3 linked regions of the Callithrix jacchus genome follow. The protein of the gene in region 2 interacts with the protein of the main gene of each other region in a biochemical or structural test. Links are inferred from orthologs where the notes say so. Each region holds a gene or a part of one and is shown on either strand. Other genes may lie near its edges.

The links.
Region 1: the proteins of EEA1 (region 2) and RAB5C form a complex in vitro, tested with the Homo sapiens proteins (2 studies listed by BioGRID and IntAct, with this or other methods). The link is inferred for Callithrix jacchus from reciprocal best matches to the Homo sapiens genes EEA1 and RAB5C.
Region 3: the proteins of EEA1 (region 2) and RAB31 form a complex in vitro, tested with the Homo sapiens proteins (2 studies listed by BioGRID). The link is inferred for Callithrix jacchus from reciprocal best matches to the Homo sapiens genes EEA1 and RAB31.

Annotation. Positions count from the first base shown.
Region 1 is NC_133506.1:121,571,422-121,581,249, reverse strand, and holds the start of RAB5C (ras-related protein Rab-5C), read left to right. Parts: upstream 1-4,081; 5' UTR 4,082-4,182; intron 4,183-4,364; exon of another isoform or gene 4,365-4,824; intron 4,825-9,828. UniProt on the Homo sapiens protein: The small GTPases Rab are key regulators of intracellular membrane trafficking, from the formation of transport vesicles to their fusion with membranes.
Region 2 is NC_133510.1:88,430,760-88,440,787, reverse strand, and holds the end of EEA1 (early endosome antigen 1), read right to left. Parts: intron 9,270-10,028; coding exon 9,031-9,269; intron 8,765-9,030; coding exon 8,644-8,764; intron 8,061-8,643; coding exon 7,962-8,060; intron 7,240-7,961; coding exon 7,117-7,239; 3' UTR 3,582-7,116; downstream 1-3,581. Other genes in the region: PLEKHG7 (pleckstrin homology domain-containing family G member 7), read left to right, coding at 112-209, 1,168-1,275. UniProt on the Homo sapiens protein: Binds phospholipid vesicles containing phosphatidylinositol 3-phosphate and participates in endosomal trafficking.
Region 3 is NC_133514.1:53,218,262-53,228,173, reverse strand, and holds the start of RAB31 (ras-related protein Rab-31), read left to right. Parts: upstream 1-3,546; 5' UTR 3,547-3,651; coding exon 3,652-3,690; intron 3,691-4,294; exon of another isoform or gene 4,295-4,549; intron 4,550-9,912. UniProt on the Homo sapiens protein: The small GTPases Rab are key regulators of intracellular membrane trafficking, from the formation of transport vesicles to their fusion with membranes.

The sequences.
Region 1 (9,828 bases), on a different chromosome or scaffold from region 2:
TATAGTTCCAGCTACTCTCGAGGCTGAGGCAGGAGAATCACTTGAACCCAGGAGGCAGGGGTTACATAGATTGCACCACTGTACTCCAGCCTGGATGACAGAGCAAGACTCCATCTCAAAAAAAGAAAAAGAAAAAAAAAGAGAGAGAGGTTATATAGGAATCCAGATATTCCAGTTTCTCTAAAAAATGTAGCACTGGACATAGTCGCTTATCCCTGTAATGCCAGCACTTTGGGTGGGAGAGGTGGGAGAATCGATTGAGCCCATGAGTTCGAGAGCTGCTTGGGCAACATAGTGAGACCCCGTCTCTATAAAAATATTTTTTGGGCCGGGCATGGTGGCTCACGCCTGTAATCCCAGCACTTTGGGAGGCCAAGGCAGGCTGATCACCTGAGGTCAGGAGTTCGAGACCAGCCTGACCAACATGGAGAAACCCCATCTCTACTGAAAATACAAAATTAGCTGGGCATGGTGGCACATGCCTGTAATCCAAGCTACTTGGGAGGATGAGGCAGGAGAATCGCTTGAACTCGGGAGGTGGAGGTTGTGGTGAATCGAGATTGTGCCATTGCACTCCAGCCTGGGCAACAGGAGCAAAACTTCATCTAAAAAAAAAACAAAAAAACTTTTTTGCCAGACGTGGTGGCTCACTCCCAGCACTTTGGGAGGCTGAAGCGGGTGGATCACAAGGTCAGGAGTTCAAGACCACCCTGGCCAAGATGGTGAAACCCCATCTTTATTTTAAAAAAAAGAGAGAGGGCCGGGTGCGGTGGCTCACACCTATAATCCCAGCATTTTGGGAGGCCAAGGTGGGTGGATCACAAGGTCAAGAGATCGAGACCATCCTGGTCAACATGGTGAAGCCCCGTCTCTACTAAAGATACAAAAATTAGCTGGGCGTGGTGGTGCGTGCCTGTAGTCCCAGCTACTTGGGAGGCTGAGGCAGGAGAATTGCTTGAACCCAGGAGGCGGATGTTGCGGCGAGCCAAGATTGTGCCATTGCACTCTAGTCTGGGTAACAATAGTGAAACTCCATCTCAAAAAAAAAAAAAAAGAAAAAAAAAGAGAGAGAAAAAAAATTTTTTTTTAAAAATTAGCCAGGTGTAGTGGTGCATGCCTGTGGTTCCAGCTACTTCAGAAGCTGAAGTGGGAGAATGACTTGAACCCAGCCTGGGCAACATAGCAAGACCCCCCCGACCTCCGCCATGCCCCAACTCTATAAAAATAAAAAATTAGCCAGGTGTAGTGGTGTGTGTCTGTGGTCCCAGCTACTCCGGAGGCTGAGGTGGGAGGATCACTTGAGCCCAGGAGGTTGAGGCTGCAGCGAGCATTGATCACACCACTGCATTCCAGCCTGGGTGATAGTGATACTCTGTCTCAAAAACAAAAAACCCAGGACATCTGGCTACCATGGGCCAACATTCCATCTGGCAATAATTGAAATCAGCAGGGGCGAAGAGGTGGCCACTGTCCTCCTTAATGGAATCTGCTCTGCGCCCTACTTCGCAGTCACCACTTGCGGTCAAGGGTTTCATGATCATCTCCCGACACCCGGCTAGATTCCCTCGTTTGAAACTTTTGTCTGCTCTCTGTAGGTATTTGAGTTCCCAAAACTTGAGTGTCCATCAGAACTACCTGAGATCCCATTAAAATGTAGATTCTGCCAGGATGGTGGCCCAAAAATAAATAACTAAATAAAAAGTAGATTCCTGGGCCTCACCCAATTTGGAATATCCAGGTGGAGCCCACGGGTGGAGGTGCAACCCCCGCCTCCTTACATAAGAGCCTGTTCCCAGGTCCCTGTGCCTAACAGGTGCTTTTGGGGCCCAGTAGTGTCTGCTTCTACTCCTAGGCATGAGTCTGGCAACATCTCTGTTTCTGTCTCTCTGCAGGCTGTCTCTCAGGCTGGTCTCTTCTGCTACTAGCAACTCAAAAATCCCTACAGCACGCCCTATCCCTCCCCGACCCCCAGACCTCTGCCAAGCCTGTTCTCCCCCATGACAACATGGTTTCATGCAAGGCCTGGATGGCTCCAAAACTCACCCAGGTCTCCAGCTCTTCTCTACCACCCAACATCTTGGGCTCACTTTTGGATAGAAAATAAAGTCTTTATTTTTGTAGTTATTGGCTCTGGGTATATCTGGGGGTTAGTCTGAGAGTCCCAAGGCTTTGGAGGAGCAACATAGCAATCACTCCCCACCCCTACCCCCCTCACCCCCCGCTGTACCCCAGGGCCCCGTTGCTATCTCTAGGAAGGATGGAGGCACCAGCCAATCTATTTGGCACCACATTCACACCACCAGGGGCCCCAGAAATGAGGGAGAAATCTTAATTAATCACTATGGGCCTGTTATATTCCCTTCTCCCCTGCACCTCAGTCATAGCCACATAAACACACAGTATGTGGGAAGAACAGAATCCTGGCTCAGGCCCACCCCCAGCCTTGGAAGGGTGGGCCCAGGGGACTACCCATCCCTCCTGTGTAAGGAACTGTTGCAGAGCTGGGTATGGAAGCGGGGCTGGGGGGAAGAGCTAGCCTGTCAGCAGCCAAAGCCTGCTAGGAATCCCACTCCGCCCCATCCACTCTGTCCTTCCAACAAGCCAACAAGCCCTCTTCCCTCTTCCCTTTCACTTCTCTCATGATCACCTGCACTGGAGTGGGGATTGTGTGTTATGGATGTAAGAAAGAGACACCCTGCTGACCAGATGGAACTAGATGTGGGCACAGTTTTGTGGCAGGTTGTCCCAGAGAGGTCGATTCTCCAGCTGAGGCTCCAGGATATGCCCGGTGTTGGCCAGTACTAGAGGCACAATGGTCACAGCTGTCTCCAGTGAGCTTTGATTCTACACAGGTTTTCAGTAGTGTCCCTGGAGGGTAACATGCAAAGGAAGAGGAGGTACTAGTCTGTGTTGAGAGGTAAGGGTGGGCGGAATCAGGAGCTGGCCGGATCCATATTCAGAGGAGCAGAAGAAACAAATAGTCCTGATCCATATGGGGAGGGGCAGAGTGGGGGTGGTTCTAGTCTTTATTTTCAGATGGAGAGGTCCGAGCCAGAGGTTATCCAGCTCTACATTCCGCGTCAGAGAGAAGAGCTGACCCTGGCTGGGAGCAGGGGAAGGCAGAGGCGGAGATGGTCTTTGCGCCGGCCCCCCCCCCGACACACCAAGTAGGGGGTGGTGGCAGAAGCTCTCCCTTTGATCTCACTCAGCATCCTGCAGAGAACCTTTCCTACAGCCTTTCATCGCTTTCATCGCCTTCCCCATCACAGAGGCCCCCAGCAATCGGGCTTCCCAAGCTGACTTGGCCGGAAAGCGCAGACAGGGGCTGCTCCAGATCAGCGAGTTCACAGGACTGGTCCACGCAGCCTCGCGTGCATATTCATTCGCACCATGTTTTTCCTTTTCCAATTCTGCACACACAGTCCTCTGCCTTCTTCCAACTCTCCGCCACTCGCCTTCCCTCGGGCGTCCGGAACCGGCGGTGACGCGGGTGGCAGGCTTGGCCTTAAAAAGTTCCCGGCCGTAGGCCGGGCACGGTGGCTCTGGCCTGTAATCTCAGCACTTTGGGAGGCCGAAGAAGGCGGATCACCCGAGGTTGGGAGTTCAAGACCAGTCTGGCCAAGATGGTGAAACCCCGTCTCTACAAAACATACAAAATTAGCCGAGCGTGGTGGTGCATGACTTTAATCCCAGCTACTCGGGAGGCTGAGGCAGGAGAATCGCTTGAACCCGGGAGGCGGAGGTTGCAGTGAGCCGAGATCGCGCCACTGCATTCCAGCCTGGGAGACAGACTGAGACTCCTCACAAAAAAATAATAATTCCCGGCCGGGCTCCGCCTCGCAGTCAGCCGGCTCCACCCTAAGCCCAAATCCCAGGCAGCCGCCAACTCCTCCCAGCGCTGCGAACTACAAGTCCCGCCATCCTTCGCGCGCGCCCTCCAACCACTCCCGCGTTTCTACCGGAGCCGCTGGATAGGTCGGCCAAGAGTGCCTTCCATTAGTCCCTCTACCCTGTCAATCACCTGGGTAGTATTGAGGGGCGGGACGGAGGTGGAGATCCGGATCCGGAGCGGCTGAAAGGCGGAAGTGGAGGCCGGAGCCTGGGACACCGCCGGGGGGGGGGGAGAGAAGCGAAGCCTGTCCGAGTCCCGGCCCCAAGTAACGCTGCCGTCCCGGAGCCGCCGTGAGTATGCCTGTCCCCGAACCTGGTGTCTCGCCTGCGTTGAAGCATCTCCAGGGCAGCCCTTACTCACCACCCAGCCCGTTTAGGGGGATAATGACCCCTCCCCCGACCCGTAGCCTCCTCCTAAGGGGTTCCCCAGGCGTCGGGCCAAAGGAGCGGGGGAGCTTCTTTCTTTAGCTTACCTGCCTTTCGTGAGCCTTAAGGAAACTCCTATGACTGTTCTCTGGCCTGTCCATTCCAGTTGTGGGAGAGAGGAACCCTAAGTTCCGCTCGCCTTGCTCCCAGAATCGAAGGATCTTTGCCAGGTGTGAAGGAACCTGTCCTTCTTGTCTTTTAGAAGTGACAGGGAGTGCTGTCTGTCGCCGTTTTCCTTCCTCCTGTCCCACGAAACCAGTTGTCCCCTCCAGCCCTAGAGGAATATGTCGATTTCCTATGGGGGAGGGGGTCGTCTGGGTGAGACCGTTCCACACGCACAGAAGTGTATTTGCGCTTCCACAACTCCTTACTTCCCTCTTTCCTCAAGCCAGAAAACCAACCAGGACCTCAGTTAAAAGTCTGGGTCATTTAGTAGGAATGAGATGTTTTCTTGCTTTGCCCCTTCTGTCTCCCTGCCCTATTCTCTAGTTATGTTGTTCTCTGAGTGTCTCTCTCTTTCTGCCCCTGAAGAATTTAGCTGAGGTTTGCTCAATCCTAGCTACAGATCACAGATCAGGGTGGATATGCCCATTCATTATCTTCTCTCCCCTCCCCCCTTGCTCCAGGCTCAGCTCTGTCCTCCCAGAGCACGTGAGTAGTTTTCAAGCCTCCTCAAAGGGACTGCTTCTCCCGGGACTGCTGTCCGTGTGTCTATAGGCAGGAGAATAAGACCCAAAATGAGGAGTCTGGAGTTGAAGAATTATCTCTTTCCCACTTCCAGACACACACACATAAACCACCCTGAGCAACAGGTCCACACCGCGCTGGTATCTAATCCCTTCTGGGCTTGGACTTATTACTGAGGACTAAGTCAAGATCCCACTGGCAGTTCTGGGGTCTGAATTGTAGCCTGAAGAATTCCCACACATGCCAGAAAATGCTGGTTCCCTCAACCGTATGGACTGTTGCTTGGGGCTTAGGTGTGTGAAATAGCTGCTGTCTCTGACCAAGCTTTGTTATGTGGCCAAAGTACAGGCCCGAGACTGTACCTTAATGAGGAGTAGCCTGTCTCTGAGGCCGTGACTGACCCTTGCTATCTACAGTGGATATGTAGATAGCAAGTGGGATAGATAGTGGGAATGTCTGTAGCTCTTCAGTTTTCTGAGCTACCTTTACCACCCTCTCGTGCTGCTTAAAAGTGCTGTTTTTTGGTATTGAGGTGTTTTTGAGTACTTCTGGACAGTCACTAGTGTCTGATTTCTCCAGTCTTGTGAGTAGACCTAGGACTTATTTCACCTTCCCCCAGCGCCCCCACTTCCCCCCTGCTGGAGTGCATTGGCCCCATCTCAGCTCACTGCAACCTCCACTTCCCAGGTTTAAGCAAATCTCTGCCTCAGCCTCCCGAGTAGCTGGGATTACAGGCGCATGCCATCATACCGGCTAACTTTGTATTTTTAGTAGAGACAGGGTTTCACCATGTTGGCCAGACTGGTCTTGAACTCCTGACCTCATGATCCGCCTGCCTTGGCCTCCAAAAGTGCTGGGAGTACAGGTGTGAGCCACCGCACCCAGCCTACTTATTTCACTTTTTATTGGACAACAGAAGCCTTCCTTATTAGGGTCAACAGCTGGATCACAAGCTCTTTATCTGTGTGGGTTCCTTGGGGGCTCATTGGAGACTTCTTCAGCCAATCTAGTTTTTCTGATCTGGGCAGCCTGGGCATCTGAGGGGCAGGGTCAGAGAGGCCTGACTGCTCACTGGCCATTGGTCTCTGACCAGACTTACGTCTTCAGGAGTGGACCATGGTTTGTCAGTCTTCAGGAGTCCTGGGATGAGACTGACCAGCCTTCTGAGGAGACCTTTTTTCCTTTGTCTGGACATGCTCTTCCAGCTCTGACTCTGAAACAATTTTTTTTGGTTTGTTTTTCTTTTGAGATGGAGTCTTGCTCTGTCACCGAGGCTGGAGCGTGGTGGCATGATCTCTGCTCACTGCAACCTCCACCTCCTGAGTTCAAGGGCTTCTCCTGCCTGAGCCTCCCAAGTAGCTGGGACTACAGGAGCGTGCCACCACGCCAGGCTAATTTTTGTATTTTTAGTAGAGATGGGGTTTCGCCATATTCGCCAGGCTGGTCTCGAATTCCTGACCTCAGGTGATCCACTCGCCTCAGCCTCCCAAAGTCCCGGGATGACAGGTGTGAGCCACTGCACCCGGCCTGAAATGACTTTTGAAGGGGAAGCTCGGCCATTTAGACAGACGAGGAAGGCCCCAGTGCTTTGGGAGAGAATGCAGCTGCTTCTGGCATCCAGAAATTATAGTCCAAGCAGAGGTCTGACTGCTTGGCAGAAAGCTATGGCTCTGTGTGTGACAGAAACCCCTCCTTTCTGATGCTGTTCCTCTCCTGCCCTCTTGCCTCTCATGATTAGTGGGCTGTTAAACTGTAGAGGGGCAATAACACTAATTTTTAAAAATCATTTTAAAGTTACAAAGTTATTTTCATACATATTCCTCACAGGTACCCTGGGAATAGTGGGGTTTGTTTCCCCACTTGTTTTTAATTTTTGTTACTTTTTTCTTTTTTGGAGTAAGATAAGGCAAGTATGTGTTTCTGCTTTAGAGAACATGCTAAAGGAACTTAAGTAGCTTGCTTAAGGTCATACATTTAGAAAGTGGTAGAGCTGGGGCTGGGATTTGGGGTCAGATGTGACCTTATCTTTTAATAGTGGGCCTTCTTTGGCCTGGTTTGTTTGCTAAATGAATGAACATGCAGGGTGAGTGCGCTGCACCACGAGGGCAGACTGTTAATCCTTTAGCCCTCCTCATCACTGGCACAGCTCTCTTCTCATTTTCTTCCCCCACCTCAACCCAAACTCCTGTCTTCTCTCTTGACCCCTTTCTTCTCTGCCTCTGAGGACCAAGACAGGAGTCCCAAGTCAGTCCTTTTCAGGGCCAGACAGTTTGCTGACATCTGCATGCCATTAATTTTTTGGGAACCTGAAAGTCTTAATGGCTAGAAAATGAAAGTTAAAGTGAGTGAACTCAGGGGTCCCTCTGGGCAGGGTTGAGGGGGAACCAGCAGAGGAGGCCTCTGATTAGTCCTCTGTTTCCCTGCTGGTACTGCCTGCTGATTGCAAGTGGGAAGAATGTGGCTGGCCACCAGGAGCTCTGGTCATTAGAATTTACATGGAAACAGAGCAAGATTATACATTTTTTGTTTTTGTATTTTTTGAGACAGAGTCTTGCTGTTGTTGCCCAGGCTGGAGGGCAGTGGCACGATTGGCTCACTGCAACCTCCACCTCCCAGGTTCAAGCAATTCTCCTGTCTTAGCCTCCTAAGTAGCTGGGATTACAGGTGCATGCCACCACACCTGTCTAATTTTTGTATTTTTAGTAGAGATGAGCTTTCTCCATGTTGGCCAGGTTGGTCTCAAAACTCCTGACCTTGTGATCTACCCTCCTCGGCCTTCCAAAGTGCTGGGATTACAGACATGAGCCACTATGCCCAGCCAAGAGCATACGTTTAAATTCAGCCCACCAGGCAAGTACTTTTTTTTACTTCCTGCCCTTCCCCAGGAAACAGGCAGTGTGGTAGGGTGTAAGGCACTAGAACTTTGGAGGCAGTTGGACCTGAGTTCTCATCCCGACTCCCCCACTTATCAGTTGTGTGACCTTGGGCTTGTTACTTGACCTCAATGAGCCTATGTTTCTTCCTGCTTTAGAGAACATGCTAAAGGAACTTAAGTAGCTTGCCTAAGGTCATGCATTTAGAAAGTGGTAGAGCTGGGGCTGGGATTTGGGGTCAGATGTGACCTTATCTTTTAACAGTGGGCCTGTTAAGGTCAGATGTGACCTTATCTTTTAACAGTGGGTAAAATGGGGATGCTAGATACCTTGCAGAATTAGAAACAAAGAAAGAAGCTAGTCCAGTGCTGGCAGAGACTAGAAAATAGCTTTTGCCTCTGATGGGTAGGTAGGGGTTTGAAGGTAAATCATAAAATCATAATTCAACGCCAAGATTCTTTCTTTATTTTATTTTATTTTATTTTATTTTTGAGACAGAGTCTCATTCTGTCGCCCAGGCTGGTGTGCAATGGTATGATCTCGGCCCACTACAACCTCCACCTCCTGGGTTCAAGCAATTCTCCTGCCTCAGCCTCTTGAATAGCTGGGATTACAGGCATTCGCCACCATGCCTAGCTAATGGGTTTTTTTTTTTTTTTGAGTTGGAGTCTAGCTCTGTCACCAGGCTAGAGTGCAGTGTGGGATCTCGGCTCACTGCATCCTCCGCCCCCTGGGTTCAAGAGATTTTCCTGCCTCAGCTTCCCAAGTAGCTGGGACTACAGGGGCATACCACCACGCCCAGCTAATTTTTATATTTTTAGTAGAGATGGGGTTTCACCATGTTGGCCAGGATTGTCTCCTAACTCTGGACTTCAGGTGATCCGTCCACCTTGGCCTCCCAAAGTGCTGGGATTACAGGTGTGAGCCACTGTGTCCGGCCCTAATTTTTGTATTTTGTGTAGAGATGGGGTTTCTCCATGTTGGTCAGACCTCCTGACCCAGGTAATCGAGACCAGCCTTGACACTGATTATGATTCAACATTTGTATCAATTATATGCTGGGGCCTGGTGCAGTGTCTCATGCCCATAATCACAGCACTTCAAGAGGATCGCTTGATCCCAGGAGTCCAAGACCAGCCTGGATTCAGGGCTGTGGTGGATCAGGCCTGTGATCCTAGCACTGTGTTTTTTTTTGTTTTTTGTTTTTTTTTTTAAATGGAGTCTTGCTCTGTTGCCCAGGCTGTAGTGCAGTGGCTCAATCTCAGCTCACTGCATCCTCTCCCGCCCGGGTTCAAGCAATTCCCCTGCCTCACCCTCCTGAGTAGCTGGAACTGCAGGTGCACGCCACCACACCCAGCTAATTTTTTTTTTTTTGTATTTTAGTAGAGATGGGGTTTCACCATGTTGGCCAGGATGGTCTCCATCTCCTGACCTCATGATCTGCCTGCCTCAGCCTCCCAAAGTGCTGGGATTACAGGCATGAGCCACTGTGACCGGCCAGTCCTTGCACTTTGGAAGGCTGAGGCGGGTTGATCCCCCCAGGTCAGGAGTTTGAGACCAGCCTGGCCAACGTGGTAAAACCCTGTCTCTACTAAAAATACAAAAATTAAGTGTGTTGGCGCATGCCTGTAATTCCAACTACTTGGGAGACTGAGGCAGGAACCTGGGAGTCATTTGAACCTCAGAGACATGTTGCAGTGAGTCAAGATTGTGCCACTGCACTCTAGCCTGGGCAATAGAGCAAGATTCCGTCTCAGAAGAAAAGAAAAGACCAGCCTGGGCTACATAATGAGACCTGATCTCTAAAACAAAAGCAAAATGTCTGCTGGGATGCCTTGTACTTTGCTTGATGGTTTCACAAATTGTCTCATTTCATAGACATTGAACAGAATTGATGTGGGTTGAATTCCCATTTTATAGACGAGAACACTGCCACTTCAGTGTTACTCAG
Region 2 (10,028 bases):
AAAACAAAAACAAGCTAAATAGAAAACAAACCCCAGGTTCTTGTACTAAGAAATTGTTTGAATTTCATATGAAATGATTTGGCTTTTTGTCTTTGTAATATCTTCTTCTAGTCTTTGGGCTGAGAAATGCTTTTCTTATACAACATGAAAACAGATATCGACAGTGTATAGCAGCATTCTTATTACAAGCCCAAACAGAAAACATCAAGGTATGTATTTTAACTTTGTAGGTCTTTGATTCTTCAGCATTTACATAAAGAAAAATCTCACCCCAAGCCTCTTAAATAACAGTGAATGGAAAGTTTTGTGTATTTCCCTCATCCACCTGGGAAGGGCAGATTTGGGAGGAGGGGAGGGATACATCTAGTCCATATAATGCTGCAAAGTCTCAGTGTTGACAATTTCCTCACACTTGCAGAATTGACATAAAGACCCTTACTCCTGCTGCAGAAGCTCAAGAGCTGCCTGTTCTGCAGTTTCTGTAGGAAATGGGGTACGAATTGCTTTGGATTGCATGATGATGAACTTTTAAGATGCTCCAATCAATTACCAAAGTGCAAATAATAAGATATTAGTGTAAGAAGGGCCTGCTGCAATAATGATCCGTGTCAAGTCAGCCTGTCAGCCTTTGAAAAATTGCCATTGTTTTTACAGCTATGGAATTGAAAGAGCAGCTGCCTGACTCTGATTTCTCCTAGAAGTTTCTATTTTTGTATTTCCCCTGGTAGGCTTTCATCACAGCCACAATATGGCCAGACAATAAATGCAATATTCCATTTCCTGAGTCACTGCCCTCAGTCTCTTTCAAATTATACCACTGGTTAAGAACTTGTTTTCACAGAGAATAGAAATTCCAGCAATGTCACTTTCAAACTACATATATTCTCAGTACTCATTTTTCTAATGAGTTACTATTATGGTTTCTTGATTACTCATAACTGTTATCCAACTTGCATATCATACTCATTTAGCCCATTTGCATTTTCCTATATGATTAGAAGTATATTAGATATAAGAAAGAAAATGGAAAACATATGCAAATATTTCATTAGTCTTCAGTTTTAAAGAGCTGGTCAATAAATATAGCAGAAAATATTAGTCCAATATGTGAGAAATTGTCAGCTTAACATTCTAATCTCTATTTCTATATTTTTCTTTTTTCAACAGAAAACATGGATGGCACAAATAACAACAGCAATTTCTTGCTTTACCAGGAATCAGGAAACCAAGAAAATATCTTTATTCACATTGCCCACAGAATCCTCTGAAATTTAGGAACCTAAAACAAGTGGCATGCCTTTTTAGAAGATTAGTGTTTAACGTATTATCTCATTCAAACTTTTGTTAACACTTAGCTAGTGATGAGCTACAAGGAAATGTGCATTTTAAAGAAGTTCCAGAATTTGGAAATTTGAGCTAGGAAAATCCTCAGTATAGAGGAATAATGACTGCAACGAATTTGAACCCTGCAGAATTTCTTGACAAGTATGTACTGACATCCAGATTACCTTCTAATGTTTCAGTCAGGTTTGTAAGAGGTGTGAGTGAAGAAAGGTGCTAATTTGTAAAGGGTGAATGATCAGATAAACGGAGTATCAGAAGGAAAACGATGTCCACTGCTTGTGTCCAATTGGCACTCCAGCATCTCACTTTGTGTGTATCTATAAAATAATGAAACCAATTTTCCTTCATGGCTTTTCAATCAGTCTTACTGCTTTATAGTCCTACCTCAAACACAATGTTAACGCTTTAGATACAAAGCTTGACTATTCTTTTAATATACAAAGAAGTAAAGAAGGACTACATTTTATCAGCAATTTTGAAATTCCTATTCTCAAACTCATCTCAGGTAAACTTTATAATACTATAACCTGGAAGTAGACAACCCCAAAGACTGAATTCCATTACTTTAAGATGAGGGGGGAAGAAAATCTGGCTTTTTCCAGTTAATACTTTTGCACAGCTTTTCTTGGCCTGTTGTGAAGTGTACAGATTTTCATACACATAGTAAAATATCTGTCTCTTAACTTCATTTTTGGAAGAATGATGATGTTTGCCATAAAAATCCTTTCTGGTTTTGATTGGAGGTTTGTGTGTGTGACAGAACACACACACCTCTGATCACCTAAATTTATCTGGCAGGACTTCAAATTTCTTCAGAATTTTTATCAAGAAAGGCATTTTGAAGAATTATTTTATTATCATGGCAGGATATATACTATTAACTATATTCAAGGAACTAGTTCTTAAGGTCCGAATATTGTATCAAATGGAAGTCCACAAACTTCCATTTCAGGCTCGTACCTTTTGCAGTTTGCAAAGTGGAAGTAGTAAATTTATCAAATTTGGCTGTAAGACAACTGAAGCCTTAGTTGATTTTGTTAAGCTGAAGAATGGGATAGAGAGGATGATATTTGGGCAAGTCATATGCACCGTAATTCTTTGAGAAAGGTAAAATTTCACCAGGCAAACAAGGCAGTAAATCCAAGTGCAGCAAAAGGCTTTTGTAAAAGGCAAGCATGATTAGAATGGAGACTAATAATCTCTTTATAATAATGTCAGACATTTAATAGAAGAGAAAATAAAAGGAAAATCTGGGAGGCAGTAACTATTATTAATAGTTAAGAATAAATGAGGTGGGGAGAAAAGCAAAGAAGGAGAGAACGGACTTCAAGCAAATTCCTAGAGATGGCATCTGGATGGGATTGAAAGCAGTTATGTCCAGGAGAAGACAATATAGGTTTATGCAAGAGAAGATTTTATAAAGAAATTTCTGGCTGAAAAAAAATTTTAAATTAACAATCATCTTGCACATTTTTAGATATAAACCAACCTAGGAGGTAAGCAGTCAACTAGGATGAGGTGAGGTCTCAAATTCCTTGAGTTCCATGAATCCAGCAACCACAGATTTACATGTATAAAGGTAGTTTTCTCCCTCTGGATCTCATTAAAGGGATAGAAAGACTGACATTAACAAAATATGTAAAACAGTTCAAGAATACACTGTACATAAACTGAAATTTTATAAAGCTCACAAAATAACACGTCTAATATACAATATATTAGATGCTTGAGGATATGCACATTAAACTCTTCAGAAGATTAGCATATTTGAATGAAGAGGTTGTGGGGGAGGAACAAAAACCATTCTAGAACCATGGTTTCCAGGAAGAAAAAATAGTGAAAACAATGGCACACTGGGCCTTCAAAAGGTATCTTTGGGGAGGGGAGGGAGAATAAATAAATAAATAAATAATATTTAAAGTATCTTTAAATGGTCATCTGGGTATTAAACACAGATACAAAGTGACATAAGGGATTAATTACGTATTTTTTATATTTCTTTTTAGTTTTGTTAATTCTCTATAATATTAAATGGAATGTCTAAAGCAAAATGGCATTAATAATTTCTCTTAAGATCAGAAACTTACTATTCTAAATTAAACAACATTAAAACACCACTGTCTACATCCAAGTGCAAAGTCCTAATATTCTGTAAATAAATAATGCAAAATGGTTAAGATAGTGTTCTCTTTTGTTAAACAGACAAAACAATTTATAGTCAGAGAATAAATCTATACTTTAGAAAGAAACGTTTTTTAATATAATCTTTAAACATATTAAAAAAACAAAAGCAACAATTCAATAAGGATCCTTCCATTGTATTTTATACAGACTTAAATGGTGTCATGTACTTTATCAGTGACATTTATAATTACTAACCTTCCAATCACTGGGTCTAGAAATTGCAGTATTTACTGAGCTAACCTTTCTCAAAAATAAGGCACAACTACATGATCACAAGTAGTAAACACAATACAAATAATGAACTCAAAAACTAAATGAGAAAATGTTCATGCAAAAGTATATATAGAAGTTATGAATGTATGTTCCAGTTCAAGGAATTACAGAATGTCATATACACAACTGCATCGTGTTACAATAAATTTATTACTTCTACACAGAAAGAACTTAGTGACTTCTAGTTCTATTTTACACAATTTTACATAAATTTAGTAAGTTTATGCACAATATTCACATCCGCAACAATAACAAATTGATCATTAAAATTCAGGCAAAGGGCATTTAAGACACGATAATGTGTGGCACATTATAATTACAGAATACCATTCATCAAGCTATGTCTAGGAATACTATAATGGTGGCACATTTAAATCTTATGAATCAAATCATCCATGGTTTTATAGCCAAAGTGCATTTAAAAAAAAAAAACTTCTATAGTCAAACAGGTCATGAATATCAAAATATATGATCATAATTTGCTCTCCACTTAAAAGCTAACCATTTTTATGCAAATGTGAGGTTTAAAAAAAGGGGGCTTTAAAGTTCTCAAAACTATATAAAATAATCATGAAGACTTTTTAAGAGAGATGGGAAAATAAACAAATTTGGCAGTTACTATTTAACATTACTGTCAGGAAATACTAACGTAGCTACTTCCACAATAAGAGGTAGTTGAACAAAATGTTATTTGTACACTGCACTGAGGTTTTTGTGTTTGTTTCCCTCATGTTTTCTTCAAAGGAACAAATCCTATACCAGCAGCTTTGTCTACTTTCCATTAAAAAAAAGTCTGTAGGTATAGTTTATTGTACACTAACCCAGCAAGACTTAATTTTAACTTACATTCTGTGCCAGGGTTTGGAATTTACTAATGTGATGCCAATGTGTCTTGCATTAAAGCCAAGAGCTGTGCATGCCAGCTCTAACTCACTGAGAAAAAATAAATAGTACCAGCAAACATCTAAAATCTATAGCCAATAGGGACTCCAAAGATGATTTTTTATTTAAAAGGAAAAAAATTTAAATTTTTGTTTCCAAAACACTTTACATTGGGGAGAGATAGTAGTAAAAAAATGTTAGGTTTCATTTATATTATCAGTATTAGTAGCCTATGGTAGGCAAATTATTCAGGACTTATGAAATGAAATTAGATAAAAATTTTAAAAATCATCCAAACATCTATATATGGTTTACTTGTCATCTTACAATTTTTTTGGTGACTATGTTAGGGGTAAAGGGGAGACAAAGAGAAGGCCTGCAGGGCATCCCATTAGGAGATAAAGTGAACAAATATTCAAATCCAGATTTTTCATGGCATTTTATTATCTCAAAAACAAAAAACAGTACTGCTGAACATCTGTGTTTTTCCAGCATACTTACTAAGTTATTTATATGTAAAAGTATAGAATTAAGACTATTTGGAAGGATTTATCAGTATATAAAAATGCATAAATAGTTCAGTTTATATTATCCAACTATTATTTTTAATAAAGAGCCACTGTATTTCTTCATTATATATGCTCAAGGATATATGTTTATCCAAGTCCAGGGACTTAATCAGTATTCTTAATAGCTAATGACAACAGACAGGGTTTACTTAAATTTTTAAAAAAATAATTAAACAAATATGTAGTGATCTCTTACAGTTTATATATGTTGTAAGTATGGCATAAATATGATAATTCCATTTCAGAATATTTGAAAGCAAATGTATACTATAAACTATTCATTATAAATGAAATATGAACTACTGTTATAAAATGACTGCACTGAATGAATGTATAACTACATTTCTTCTCTAGAAAGATTAATAAACCAATATTAACGACTTCTCTCTTGCGATGTTTTACAATTTTCCAAATTAATAAGACTATGCTAAATTAAAGTTTGATTCCATTGTTCAGCATACAAACAAGCTAATTCTTAATTAACCTTAAGGTGCTTAGCCATGCTGTTTCAGTTTTTATTGTAACTCTGGGATTCCTAAATATATTTATTTTTGGTGATACTCTATTCCCAGCTGTTAGTTACTTGAAGGGAACTTCACAACATTATTTTTGCAAAATTATAAGTAAAACTGGGAACAGCTGATATGGAACACCAAACTCAGAACCATTTTAACCTTTAGTCAATTTTACAACTTTTAAAAATTCTTCCATATAAGGTAAAAAATATAAAATAAAATATTTAATGACTTCATGACTTCTTACCATTTTATATCTTGTTTTCACAGACAAAACCACAGCAATATTAGTTACTAGCTTTAAGATGCAAAATTATGAAACAAATGTATGAAGCTGAGCTATGATTGAAAAGGTTAAACCAAATAAAGGAAAAAAGCAGATCTGTATAAAACGCAAACTCAGAGAGTTTGTAAAAAGCAAACTAGAGAGACAAAATAAGGGTATGATATGAAGGCTGATTTCAAAAGACTTCTCACTTACAAGAAACCGAGAATAAGAACATTATACAATGTTTATTATTCACCCTCGAACTGAAGGCAAGGGTAAGAAGCTTTCTAAGATTCTAAATGGACAGTATGTGAGAGTTTAAGAGAGAGACAGAGAATGACCAAAAAAAAAAAAAATTAACCCTATTCTTTAAAATACGACCCCAGATAACTGTAAGTAAGCAAATTGATTTTACAGACGTTTTCGTAAAATCCACCCAAGAGAATTTAATTAACATTGTTAAAACAAAAACCATTTTTGAATTCATGGTCACTGTATTTTAAGATAAACTGTATTAAGAACACCTAAGTAGTAAATTTTAAACATAACAATGCAACTGAGCTATGAACCTATATATAATAGAAAAAGATAGCAGGAAAGTGTTATAGTTCTGTGCATGACTTCACAAAGAGAATATTTAATATAATTAATGTGCTCTTGTGCAACAAAAACAGCAACAAGTGATATCATCCATGTACATTTCTGCACATTAAATTTAGGAGAAAGAAATAAGCTATGGAATTGCATTCTTCATTTGTGAATAATGAAATTATATTTAAAAAAATACATTGCTATTTTCTGTCCAAAGTTTATTTACATTTCATTGGCTAATTCTAAACTTGGCATGAAAGCTATTCCATGAGGCTAAATGGAAAAAAAGTAGTGAAAGATGGTAAGCCCAAGTCTCACAAAAATAGAAGAGTTTTACTTGATATCCGTAACATTCCAAAATATATGAATTCCTATTTGGTCTAGTATTGCAACCAGTGTCCAAATCAAATAGTAGTCCAAGACCTCTATTAAGTACATTTATTAAAAATCTAATGTTAGTGTAATATTACTCTGAAGTCATGATAACCCATTATCCTTGCAAGTCATTGAAACATGCATCACAGACACGAACAGGCTTCTTGGAAGAAGGAGTTAAGGCATTTTTGGCTGAACATTCAGCACAGAAGATATTTCCACACTGTCGGCAGTGATGCTGTAAATAACAAAAATTAAACAATTTCAAGAATAAAAACTATACCAAAAGTATTATGAAACTACACAAATATCACCGACTACACTGTGAAGGTATATTAGCTTTCAAGTCATTGATATATTAGTTAATGATATAATGTTTCAATATGTTAATTTAATCCCTTTGTTATAATTAAACTGAATGCTTCCTATTTATCAAACACTATGGTAAATATTTTACATGGAATTTATCATGGAACTCTCAAAAGAACCAGAGAGTCATTTAAAAAGTTCTTATAAAGTATCCCTATCAAATGAAAAACTATTCCTATTTGCCAAATGTTTCAGGCATTAATGTCTTCAATAGGAATATAAACTTAAATCATAACACAATGGTAGCATTTAGAATATATTTTTTAAAAATCTCTGCTTTTTCTTCCTTTAAGAACCTGCTGATTACTAAAACATGAGTTTAATATTGGCACACTGGTTCAAAATTGATTGTTCCAGACAGTAACTAAGTTGGAAGACAAAGACTGAAGTTAAAAGTAAAACTCTAACATATATGCTAACCAGAAGCTAGACTGCATGAAGTTTAGTTATTCTATGTTGCTGGTAAAGTTTACTGATAAGTAGAAAATTGTTCTGTCAAATGAAGGATTGTTTTGATGGTTGAAATATTAATTAATTTTCAGTGACAAATGAAATCCAGAAACATAGTTACATGAAGAAAATTTCATTTACCCGTCTCACTGTTACTGAAAAGCCTTTCCCACAGGCCATACAGTTTTGTACTTCATTGTCTTCGGCCCACTTTCTATTCAACGCTTGTGTATGTTTGATCTGTTTTTTTTAAAAAAAAGTATCAATATATTATAATATTCAACATTTTAAAGGATGCCAGAATTCTATAAAGTTTTGATTATATAATCCATAAATTAAAATTTTAAAAAACCAGAAATACAACTGGTCAGCTTCAATTGTCAAAAGTAGCTATAGTCATAAATCTGAATGACAAAATAAAATTAATTGAATATTATTCCTGAAACATCTTGCTAATGTTTGCTGATTTCTGATCCATTCTAAAGGTAATGATGAATCCTTCCTGAGGACTCTGAGAATATTCTCAGATCACTTCTTTAACACATACTGACTCATCTATTCTTTGGTATTCTTGAATTTTGTAGTTCTCTCCCCATACTAACAATTGGTGAATGACACGGTTTTCTAATGAATCTCTGAGGACTCTGAAACAAGTTCTTTTCTTTTATATTTCATTATCCATAAAACCTACAATACTGCTACACAGACAGTAGCTATTTGAAAGTATTTATAAAACATGAGACTTTTTACAAGTTAAAAATATGCTTTGCACTAAGAAGTCACTCTAGACTAAAAAGCTGCCTCACAACCATAGATGACTGACCTGAAGTGACTGGTTTTCTCTGCCCAGCTCCTGCACTGCTGCAGTTGTATTATCCAGCTTTCTTTGCAATTCTAACACTTTGGTTTGAAGCTTTTCTATTTCACCTTCTCCTTTAAGACATCTGGAATAGATTGCAAAGAGGTAATTAATTTTTTAGAAAATCATTAAAGACTCTTCTAGGGTATAGATAATAGACAACTTTAGTAATTGTAAATATATTAATTTCCACTATCTGATTGTTTTACAGGTTAATTTTTAAATGGCTACTTAAATTCCTATAGAGGCTTATGTACTTTTCTCAAGATTCTATTTTTAAAAAATATGGAATATGATAATCTTTTTATCACTTACAATGGAAATAAACTAATTCTACTAGCTATTAATCACCTTTCCAGTAGTGCTCTCCTTTCATCTTGATTATTCTGAACCGTTGCTTCTAATACTGCAATTTCACCCCGTAAGTCATCCGTCTGCTTCTCAAGCTCGCTAACTCTCCGTTGACTAGATTGCCACTCCTTCTTCACAGTGCCTAAGTTTTCATTTAATGCTGTAATCTGCATGGTAAGTTTAGCCTCATTTTCTTCATGCTTCTTCATTCCTACTTCTTTTTCTTTTATTTCGGAATGCTAAATAAAAGGAAAAGGGGGGGGAATATATTACAAAAATAGTACAAAATAAATTTAAGTGATTTTTTAAATTTAAAATATTGGCAATATAAATAATATTGCTCCTTCAGGAATGGAGACAGGAGAACATATTTCATTATACATTAATAAACTGATTCACAAGCATCTGTGTAATTTGAACTGCCTCAAAGGTCATAATGCTGAAATGATGGTTAGTGATCATCATGACAGTGAGCTAAAGTGACACAATGTGAGATATTTCTTTTTCTCCACCAGAGCAGTAAAGACACATGTGGTTAGGGAGGGATAGCAAGGTGCCCTAGAGACAAAACTTAAATGTCCTTATCCTTCCCAAGTCCATAGCATTCTTTTCTCTACCAAGTCTGCCAAAAACCAATATGAAAGCTTCATATGACTGAACTTAAAATTGAAACTCTTCAACTAAAATATTCAATGGCCAAGTTATCTGGGCATATTTGGACTTAATTCAACAGAGGAAAGCCAGATGCTTCCCATTTGGCATGTGCAACTTAGGAAAGTAAAAGAAGACTTTGTTCATCATAATTCCAAACTCAAGTTTCCATTCCCCTTTATCAACATTCACTTTGACCCAACAAATGGGTTTAACATGACTAGCATTCACACCATTGACAAGATCTACACAGTTGTGGAGTTGTTTAGTTTCTGACACTTAAAAAAAGTGTTTTTAAAATTATATTTCAATTCAATGTTCACTTACATAAACAGTAATATGGTTAC
Region 3 (9,912 bases), on a different chromosome or scaffold from region 2:
CCTACCCTGGTATGTCCAGGATTCATCTCCTTAAAATTTATTTAAACGGCATGAGTTACAAATAAGATTAGGTAGCACATGCTATTTAGAAAGTTTCTGAAACAGAAGGAAAGAAGGAAGGAAGGAGTTGTTATGTAAATGAGAAATACTAAAAGGCTGTTTAACTGATATTGCAGACATTATAGTTCCATAAAAAAGATACAATTATGAAAAACAAGGTTTGTAAACATTTTTATTTTTTCTTAATTGGCCCTTGAGCAGACCAGATGACTCAATACTGGCCTCCAGGGATCAGCCTGCACTCCAGGGCATTATAACATACGTATATCGCTCATCCTATTTAACCTTTTGAGTCATAATTGTTTTCACCTTATTTACTGTAAACAGCTCTATATATCTATGTAGTATACACATTTCATTTAATATCTAAGTAACATATATTCTTGTACACCATTAAGTAGATCCAGTAAAGATACCCTGTCTTGCTTAATCATTCCCTAAATGTTAGGAGATTTGAGTTACAATTAGTGCAGCAATTCTCCCTGTACCTCCATAGAGATAATTCTATTTTGTTTCTCTAATGCATTTGTTTATTTTTCTGTATATGTGTTTACAGTCAGACAGGCAGCTTTTGTTTACTTCTCATCTTTGTGTATTATTCTTCAAAAAAGGATTTCCTGAATCAAAAAACACGATGAGCTTTATGACGGCTCCTGGCTTTTGCTGTTGGAGACTTTATAGCAGCAGAGAAGTTGAGGTCTGAATTAGCACAATGACCTTTTACTTTACAAAATTCTCATAAGAAAAACTTGCATGTTCTGTTTTTTAATTTGATAAATTGTCAGTTATGTATCATTGAATTTTTATCCCTGCTGAAATTATACCAGAACTACATATTTGCAGAAAATTCCAGAGGAGTCGGGATGGGCCCTTAGTGCATTAATCCATAGATTGTAACAATAGAGTACATGGTACTTTAAAAAAATCGAGAGCTTTCGAGAAATACTAAAAAGGCTGTTTAACTGACATTGCAGACACTATAGTTCCATACATAAAAAAGATGTAATTACGCAAAACAAGGTTTGTAAACCTTGACCTGTCACTCCTCTGACCTGTCACTCCTAAAATATGTCTCCTAGCAGTCATCTTCCGGCCTTCCTGGGCCAGACCTTTATGGATTACCTTAGGGTGATGATGGGGACCTGGTTTTCATGAGGCCATGTTTAAGTTCAGGGGTGACCTGGCTGGGGAGAGGGTATAAACCCATGAACACAGTCTAGCTGACAGACGAGGATTGCAACTTTGTAAAGAAGAACCCAAGGCCTGATCAGAAGGAGATGCAAATGAGGTCATTTTTAATAGAACTAGGAGTGGGGAGGACAAATGGATTGGGGTTATTCTCAGAGAGAAAAGGCCTGGATAGGGGACTGTTTTGGGAGAGCCTAGAAACCACAGAAGTGTCCCAGACATCCGGGCTATAGTGGAGAATAGAGTGGAATGAGAGCGGTCATGAAAAAGAGCAAGGGAACACAAGAGAAATTTGGTTTGCTTATTTCTTTCTTTCTTTCTTTTTTTTTTTTTTGAGATGGAGTTTCGCTCTTGTTACCCAGGCTGGAGTGCAATGGCCCGATCTCGGCTCACCGCAACCTCCGCCTCCTGGGTTCAGGCAATTCCCCTGCCTCAGCCTTGAGTAGCTGGGATTACAGGCACACGCCACCATGCCCAGCTAATTTTTGTATTTTTAGTAGAGACGGGGTTTCACCATGGTGACCAGGATGGTCCCAATCTTGTGATCCACCCGCCTCGGCCTCCCAAAGTGCTGGGATTACAGGCGTGAGCCACCGTGCCTGGCTGGTTTGCTTATTTCTCTCTAGGCACGGTTCTGCCCTTAGCAACCTAAGGCAATTTCACAAAGCCCCACTCAATGCACAGGATGTAGAACATGGCAGAAGCTTCCACTCTGGTTTGACTGACTTTTGCGGACTGAGCTGGAAAGCCAAAAGGACACATTTCAGTGTGGACATCCAAGTCTTAGTAGGTGTGGTGAGGGCTGGGAAGGCCTTGGAGAAGTAAGTAAGTGTCTTTGCAACTGTGTAGCTATGGTTTTCTGATTAGCAAATCTGAGGACAGGGAGGTATTGTGACCAGGGCTGTGTGATTCTGGGCAAGCCTCTTTTGACCCTGCCCACATGGAAGACTCTGCTTTGGATACAAAAACAAGGCGGGATACTGATACAATGGACTCTAACTTGTCCATGGCTGCCTTTTGAACAATTTAGTACATTTGAGTAACCTCCGCAAGCCTGCATCTCCAAGGCAAAGTTCCTGCTCTTCTGGGGAATTTACTTGTGAATTGTCTGTTTTGTGTCCCATTTTGACTCCAGCATTCCAGGACTCATCTTTTTGGAAGCCTTGGTTTGGAATTTCCCATTGGATGGGGCCACTTGGGTGCTGGGAAGCTTCAACCTGGCTTCTGTAAGAACAAAGCCTCAAGGGTGGTCTGCTAGGAGAATGGAAATGCCATTGATTAAAATTGGAAGGTTAGGAGAGAGGCCTGAGTTTGGAATAGGAGATGAAGTTTTAAAAAATCAGTTTTTAAAACAACCTTTCTCATCTGAAATGCCAGTGAATATTCAGACAGATTACATTGAAAAGGCTGCCATTTCTGTAGCAGCAACGAATGAAGTCATCTGAGTGGATGAGGTGCACTAGGCCATACATGGAGAAAAGAACGGTTACCCAAGCCTCCCCTGACTGTGTGCGGCCACAGCCTCTTCACATTTCCTAGTTAGGAAGGATGCTGGGGTCTGCTGGGATCTCCATGTTTCTACCTGTACTTCAGAGGGCTGGATTTCTGCCTTGTAGACAAGTCGCAGGATTTGCTCTACTGAGAGAGTTTTTCTGCAGAATGCAAGTTTCCTCTTTCAGACACTGATAGCTGGTTTTGCTTCTAGAATCATTTTCAGCTACATACAGAAAAATGAAATTGGCAGAGCTGACGGAAGTTTGGGTATTAGGAACGTCCAGAAGGCAGGCTGAAAAGTTAACCCCTTCTCTTCACCCCTGTCCTCACTGCGGCCCCCTCAGTGGCCTGACTTCTGCCTGGGACCCAGAATGTCACTTGAGGATGGGACTACCCGCAGACCTCCAAGCGCTCCTACACAAACAGCAAACGGCGTCGGCCGACCGCATCCGCTTTTCAGATGAGAATGGCATCTGCAGGGACCCGCTGGTCCTGGGGCCAGGTCTCCGCAGGGTCTGTCCCGTCCTTCCTTCCCACTGGGACTCTACGGCCAGGCGGGGTCGGGAGAGCTGATGCCGGAGGGCGCTGGGGGAGCCTGGCCCGCGCGGGGCCGGTCCGAGGGCGGAGGCAATCCGCCGGCGACGCCGCAGGTCCCCGGGTGGCTGACGCCGTCCGGGGGCGTTCCTGGGAGCTGGGGGCCGGCGAGCCTGGACCCGACGCGCCCGGGAGGAGCTGGCTGGCGGACACGTGACCCACCACGGCGGGGCCAGCGGCCCAGAAATAGCAGCGGCGGCGATTCCACCCGTTGGCTGCGCGAGCGAGGGACCCAGGCGGGAGACGCCGGCGGGGCGCGGGCGCGGCGGCCCCGGAGGATGCTGCTGAGCCCCGGCCTGGTCCGGCCGCGAGCACATGATGGCAATACGGGAGCTCAAAGTGTGCCTTCTGGGGGTGAGTCCTGGCCGCCACCCGCCGGGGGACCCCGGCCCGCGTCCCCGCGCCCCCTCGCTCCCCTTGACCCCGCGCGCTCAGTCCCCGCGGTCCCCTTGCTCTCCGCACCCCTTTCGTAGCTCCCGACCCCTCTTCCGCGCGCCCACCTGGTTACCCGGGTCCCTTCGCTCCCCTAGTCCGTGCGTCCCTTGCTCTCCGCACCCTCCTTGTTGTCCACGTCCCCCTCGTCCTTGCGACCCTCGGGTCCGCCCCCGCTCTCGCCCTGCGGGGGTCCGGTTGGAGCCTGCCCTGGGCTTTCCCCGCTCTTTCCTCTCCGTTCCCGCGTCTCCGGATCCGCGACGGCCTTGCTGGGACCCTCGGCGGGGACCCGGCAGTGGTATCGGGTCTGGGACCCCGAGGGCTTTCTCCTCCGCCTTTGATAGTTTCCTTCCGGCAGAAAGTTTAAGTTGCTCGGCCAAATCGCTGAGTCCTCTTTTGCCCCCTTTTCACTTAAAACACAAAAATAAAACCAAAAGCGAACCCAGCCAAGGGGGTGAAAGCCGAGGGCGCGGCTAGGGTGGAAGGTGAGGCAGTGACTTGTGTGGAGCGCGTCCTGCAAACTTACCTGCTGCAGATCAAAGAAGCAGGCTGGGAAAGTCCTCCCCACCACCACTCCTCCCAAAGTGAGGTTTTCTCAGCCCGAAGAAGCCTTAAAGCCGCCAGAAACGAAGAAGCAGTGAATCCGGGCGGCCCGGGGACACAGGCAGGGGACCCGGCGAGGACGCAGGGGAGCCGCTGGCGAACAGCCCCTGGGAATCCAGATCAATGTAAGGTCCCTTCCTTTCGGGGGCCCACATCGCATTCCAGAATTCCTTCTTCTAAAAGAGGAGCTGGTTCCAAGGGCGTTTTCAGCAGCCTTTGGCATGGGCGCCTGGTGTACCCGCCCATGTCGTTGGCAAAGCTGGTCTCATGAAAACCATTTCCTAAAAAAGAGCAGCGAAAGGGTCGCATTCTTGTGCGAACTGATCTGTCAAGATGGGGGTACAAGAACTGTAGAAAGAGGAAATGATTTAGGTGAAGACTGAATTGTGCCAGAGTTTCTAGGCTTTCTCTAGGTTTTTCTGGAACCTTGGGCAGGACCATGTTCTCTCCCCTAGCTCCCATCACCGGCCTCTGCCAAAACCATCCTTTACCCTAACTCGATTGTCCAGTTGGTCTAGAATTCCAGAGGATCTGGGAAGGCCCTGCCCTCCCTGGTAGTCCCTGGAGATCCCCACCTACCCCCACTCGCTCAGCCACAGCCAGGATCTAGTCTGGTCTTTCTCTGTTGCCCTATTGGTGTTGCAGAAGTGGATTTCCCTGTTCCCCAGGCCCTCTAATATAGTCCAGACAAACATTCTTGGAATCCCATGCTTCCCTCTTGAGGAGCCATTTCGGCCTCCGGGAAGGCCTTCAGAGAGTTAGAAGGAATGTCATGTTCCAAGGAATGAAGAGGCAGCCTTGATGTGTGCTGTTTGTCAGGATTGGCCTTGGGAAAAATGAAATAGGACATGTTTTTGCCTCTTTTTCTTAAACTCTTTCTCTTGTCTTTTACTGAGGTGGTCTAAGCCCTGCCCTATTAGAGGACCCCTTATTTTCAATTTTGGTATTTAGGGACAGGTCTCTATATCCTCCTGCCAGGACACTGATCAAGTGGTAAGAACACTGTGTCAGGAGGCAGGAAACCCAGGCTCTCATTCTTTCCCACCAACGAGCTGTGTGGTTTAAGCAAAGCAACTCAGTGGCCTCATCTATGAAATGGGCATAATAACATGTTTCCTCTTAAGGCAGAGAACTATACCAGATGATCTCTTAAGACACATGCTACCATTTCCTACTAACATGAGTTCAGGGTGGCAATTAGCAAACCTGGAAGAGGAGGCAGCTGGAGGAAATCTCTTTACTTCTTTTATCTCCAAGAATGAGACACTCTTTGAGTGACTTCCTGCAGGCGGTGCCTTACCTTTGCCAGTTCTGTGGGTAGGAATTTGAAGCTGGAGTTGGGAGAACCATGCCAAAGCAGAGAAAGAAGAGGTTTCTGGGCAGGCGGAAGGCTTTGAAACATCAGTCATGCTGGGCACAGTGGCTCACGCCTATAATCCCAGCACCTTGGGAGGCTGAGGTGGGTGGATCATTTGAGGTCAGGTTCGAGACCAGCCTGGCCAACATGGTGAAATCCTGTCTTTACTAAAAATACCAAAAAAACGTTAGACGGGTGGTAGTAACCCATGCCTGTAATCCCAGCTACTCTGGAGGCTGAGGCAGGAGAATCACTGGAGCCTGGGAAGCAGAAGTTGCAGTGAGCTGAAATCGCACCCCTGCACTCCAGTCTGGGTGACAGAACAAGACTCTGTCTCAAAAAAAGAAACATCAATCATATCACACCACAATTGTGGCTTCCTTTTTTCTTGAGGGTGGCTGTAAGTTTCAGTTTGATTGAAGTCAGAGGACATTTTATTTGAAAGGCCAAATGACCTTTTGTCCACACTAAGTAAGATTTGTTACATCCCCTCGTTTGGCTATCTCTTGTTTGGCTATCTCTTCCGTGGGTAAGATGTGCGCAGCAGGCCGGCTTTCTAGCTACTCGTCCAATTAGGCTGGTTCTCTGGGTGGGAACCAGCCTAATTGGCTCCATTTAAGGGAGATCAAAGCCATTTTAACTGTCTTGGGTTTACTCTCTTCTCTCTCTCTTTTTGTTTGGAGACAGTGTCACATTCTGTCATACAGGCTGGGTGCAGAGGTACCATCATAGGTCACTGCACCTTCCAATTCCTGGGCTCAGTGGATCCTCCTGCCTCAGCCTAGGTTTATTCTTCTGATTGGAGAGACCCTGTGGGTCAGTTAGTGCTCAGTCCAAAAGTCCTTTAAAAAAATATGTATGTTTTTGAGATAGGGTCTCACTCTGTCGCCCAGACTGGAATTTAGTGGTGCCATCACGGCTCACTGCAGCCTCAGCCTCCCAAGCTCAGGTGATGGTCTTACCTCAGTTAAGTAGCCAGGACCACAGGTGTGCACCACCCAGCGCAGCTAAACTTTTGATAATTTTTGTAGAGACGGGGTCTCCCTATGTCGCCCAGGCTCTTTCAACATTTTAACAGGAACCCTGGGCTCCTTTGTTCTTTTCATAGGGAGGTCTGTCTCTTCTGGGTGAAGTTTTGCGTGTCGCTGGCACTCAGCTTCCTGTTTTTCAGCCATGAGGCACCTCCCTGAAGTCTTGATAGGACCAAGATCCTAACAACCACACCTTCTTTGTCCCTGTTTGAATCACTTTCTGTTGGGTTTCTCTTAGAAGCTGATAGAGAATGTAGACTTCATAACAGAATCTCACTCTCTCACTGGGAAGGCTGAGGGGCTGGTCTTTTTGTGCCTGGTCCTGTGCTCAGTGAGGACTTGGGGATGTGCTTCCCATTTGAGGTACAGGTTGGTTTAGGCATGGGCAGTGAGAACTTTCAGCACAGGCTCCCTGCTGGTCACTCTTTGCTGTAGTCTCCTCCTCCATCTACGGGGTCAGGGGTCTTATCTCCTGACATTAGAGTCATTTGCAGGAGGTTGGAGTGAAACTGGGCCAGGTGCCAAGTCTTCTCTACCTGAACTTTTCCTGTCTTCCTGGCATGTTAGGAATGTCTGATCTTACTTCTTTTGGTGAATGCTCCCACAAGGGATGGACAGCGGCTTGTGGAACATTCTCTGAATGCTTTTTGTTCTTGGAAAACCAAAGACTGAAGAGCATTGGGTTTGTTTATGTTATCTGTTATAAATCCTTGGCTCACATTTCATGTGTGGACTTTCTCAGGTTTATTCCACATGGGGATAGCGCAGCAAGCATTTGAGGACGCCCTTTCCTGGCCTAAGCCCCATCACCTATGGAAGTCAGCCATGCAGGAGGGTGTGCCTGACAGGGGAAAGCACCGTGGGCAGGACCCCATGAACCTCTTTCTTACCAGGAAAGTGTCATTCGCCCCACTTTGTGATCTGAACCTGTATTATGAAACATGGAGCTTAAAGGCAACACCCTTAAAAACAGCAAAGTATGTTACAAAAAAAAAACTAACGAAAACAATATTGAGGCAGCAGCTGCTTCAACCCCAAAGGTGGAAAGTTTCCCAGTATGCATTTTTAACACACATCACCATGTGGCAAGAAGCAGGAGGATGGAAGAGAGTGGGGAGGAGGAGAAAGAAAAGGAGGGGACCTTTGTTTTGTTATTTCCTTGTGGTGTTTGTGTGCTTGCACTTAAAAACGGCTTCCTGATGGAATCCCAAAGAGATTTATATTTGGGCTCTGGTTGCCTTGACAACAATTTAGAAATTTCTACCACTTCCCCAGTAGCTGAGTGAGTAGTTAGAAGAGCCGAGGGCTTTCTTGATTCTGGTAAGGAGCTTGTTGAAGCATCTCCTCGTGATCTTTGTTGGAATCTGTGTGGTGGTTCATCAAAGAGCAGCCAAATACCTTTGATTTGGTGAGACATCTAGGTAATGGGGACTTTACCTGTGTCCAAGGCCTCCACACAGAAGGCCTCTTGTCTTCTCAAGGACACTAGGACTCAAGAGTAGAACAGATTTATACTCGCATTAAGGCAGATCATCAGAGCTGTGCAACCTTCCATGGGTTGCTTTGAGCGCGATATGAGAGAGTATTCAATAAATCGACAGGAATTTGTTAGTGTTATTGTGGAAGGAAGGAATGCACTGGATAGTGGGTTGGGATAGTAATGATCACATTTGCTCTCCAAGTCTGAGATTCTAGTAACTTACTATTTTTCTTACCCCAGGGACTGGCATTTCTTGGGGAGGGGGGATGGTGTGGAGGGTGGAGTGGCATTTATTTCTTGGCACACCTGATTCGTTTATTAAACTGAACCATTTGTGGAAAGTATGTTCAACATTGGTGACTCTGGGTAGCTGCTGTGTTACATGAGAATAAATATAAATGATATAGTGGGATGTCTTCCCAGCAGTGCCTGGCATATGGCAACGCTGTGTCTTATGCACCCAGCCAGGCTCATGGGATCCATCAGGGTCCCTTTGTTCCTTTTTTGTTCAGGGTCAACATTGCTGCTTTCATCCTCCCTGGGCTTTCAGAGCTCAGTGCGTCCCTGGTGTGTATATCAGAATCATGTGAGGAGCATTTTCAAGCTTCTCATGGTCTCTTCCCCCATCCCTTGTGTCTTAATTTGAACTGCTGTCATAAAAATACTATAGGCTGGAGGGCTTAAACAATAGACATTTAATTCTCAGACTTCTGGAGGTTGGGAAGTATAAGACCAAGGTGCCGGCAGATCTAGTGTCTGGTGAGGGCTCACTTTCTGGTCTGCAGACAGCTGCCTTCTTTTGGTCTTTGAGTCTCTTTCTCCTCTTATAAGGACACCAACTCCATTCATGGGGGCTCTACCCTCACAACCCAAGCATCTCTCAGATGCCCATCTCCTAATAGTCTCACATTGGGGGTTTAGGCTTCAAAATGTGAATTTTGGTGGGGAGACACGAACATTAATTCCATAGTAGCTTGTCAATAGCTTTGAGGCATGTGGCCCTTACTTTTGCCCTGGTCCAAAGTCTGGTAGACTACACTTATTTGGTGTTTGCATGCTTGTGCAGATTTTACACTTTCATTTGTCTTAGTTTTTATCATGTATGATATGTGTTTGAAAATGGAATAGGTATTTGTTCATTCAGCCATTCACCATTTGTGGAGTGTTTCTTTCATGCTGGAAGCTATGGTGCAGGTAGACGAGACAGCAGTGACTGCTGCCTTCCCGAGGACAGGAACACACCAGCAGTGAGCTCTGTCGCATTGACTGGATTCTGATTATGGTACTTACCGTGGCCCACCATGCAGAACAGAAGTAGTGTGGTCTGCTGATGAGAAATACTGACTGTCATCTCACTTATTAGACATGATGGCGTGGGAGGGACAGAAAGTTCTTGCTCCAGCTCTGTCTTGGGTACCTGCAACGGCTCAGTGCTGTGCTAACTCTGCTAGAGACAGAAAGTAGGTCAGGCAGGGATCTGGTCCCTGCCTGGGATGGAGAGGCTTCTGCTTGGTTCCTGTGCCACATGCACAGGAGCACGGCCCATGCTGATGGTTGTGATGCAGGAGGTGTTGCGTGTACAGTGGGAGATGGTGGGAGTCGAATACAGTGGGGGCTACGAAGTGGGGAGCTAGGGAGATTTCTTGGAGTGGGAAGGATTTGAACAGTTCCTA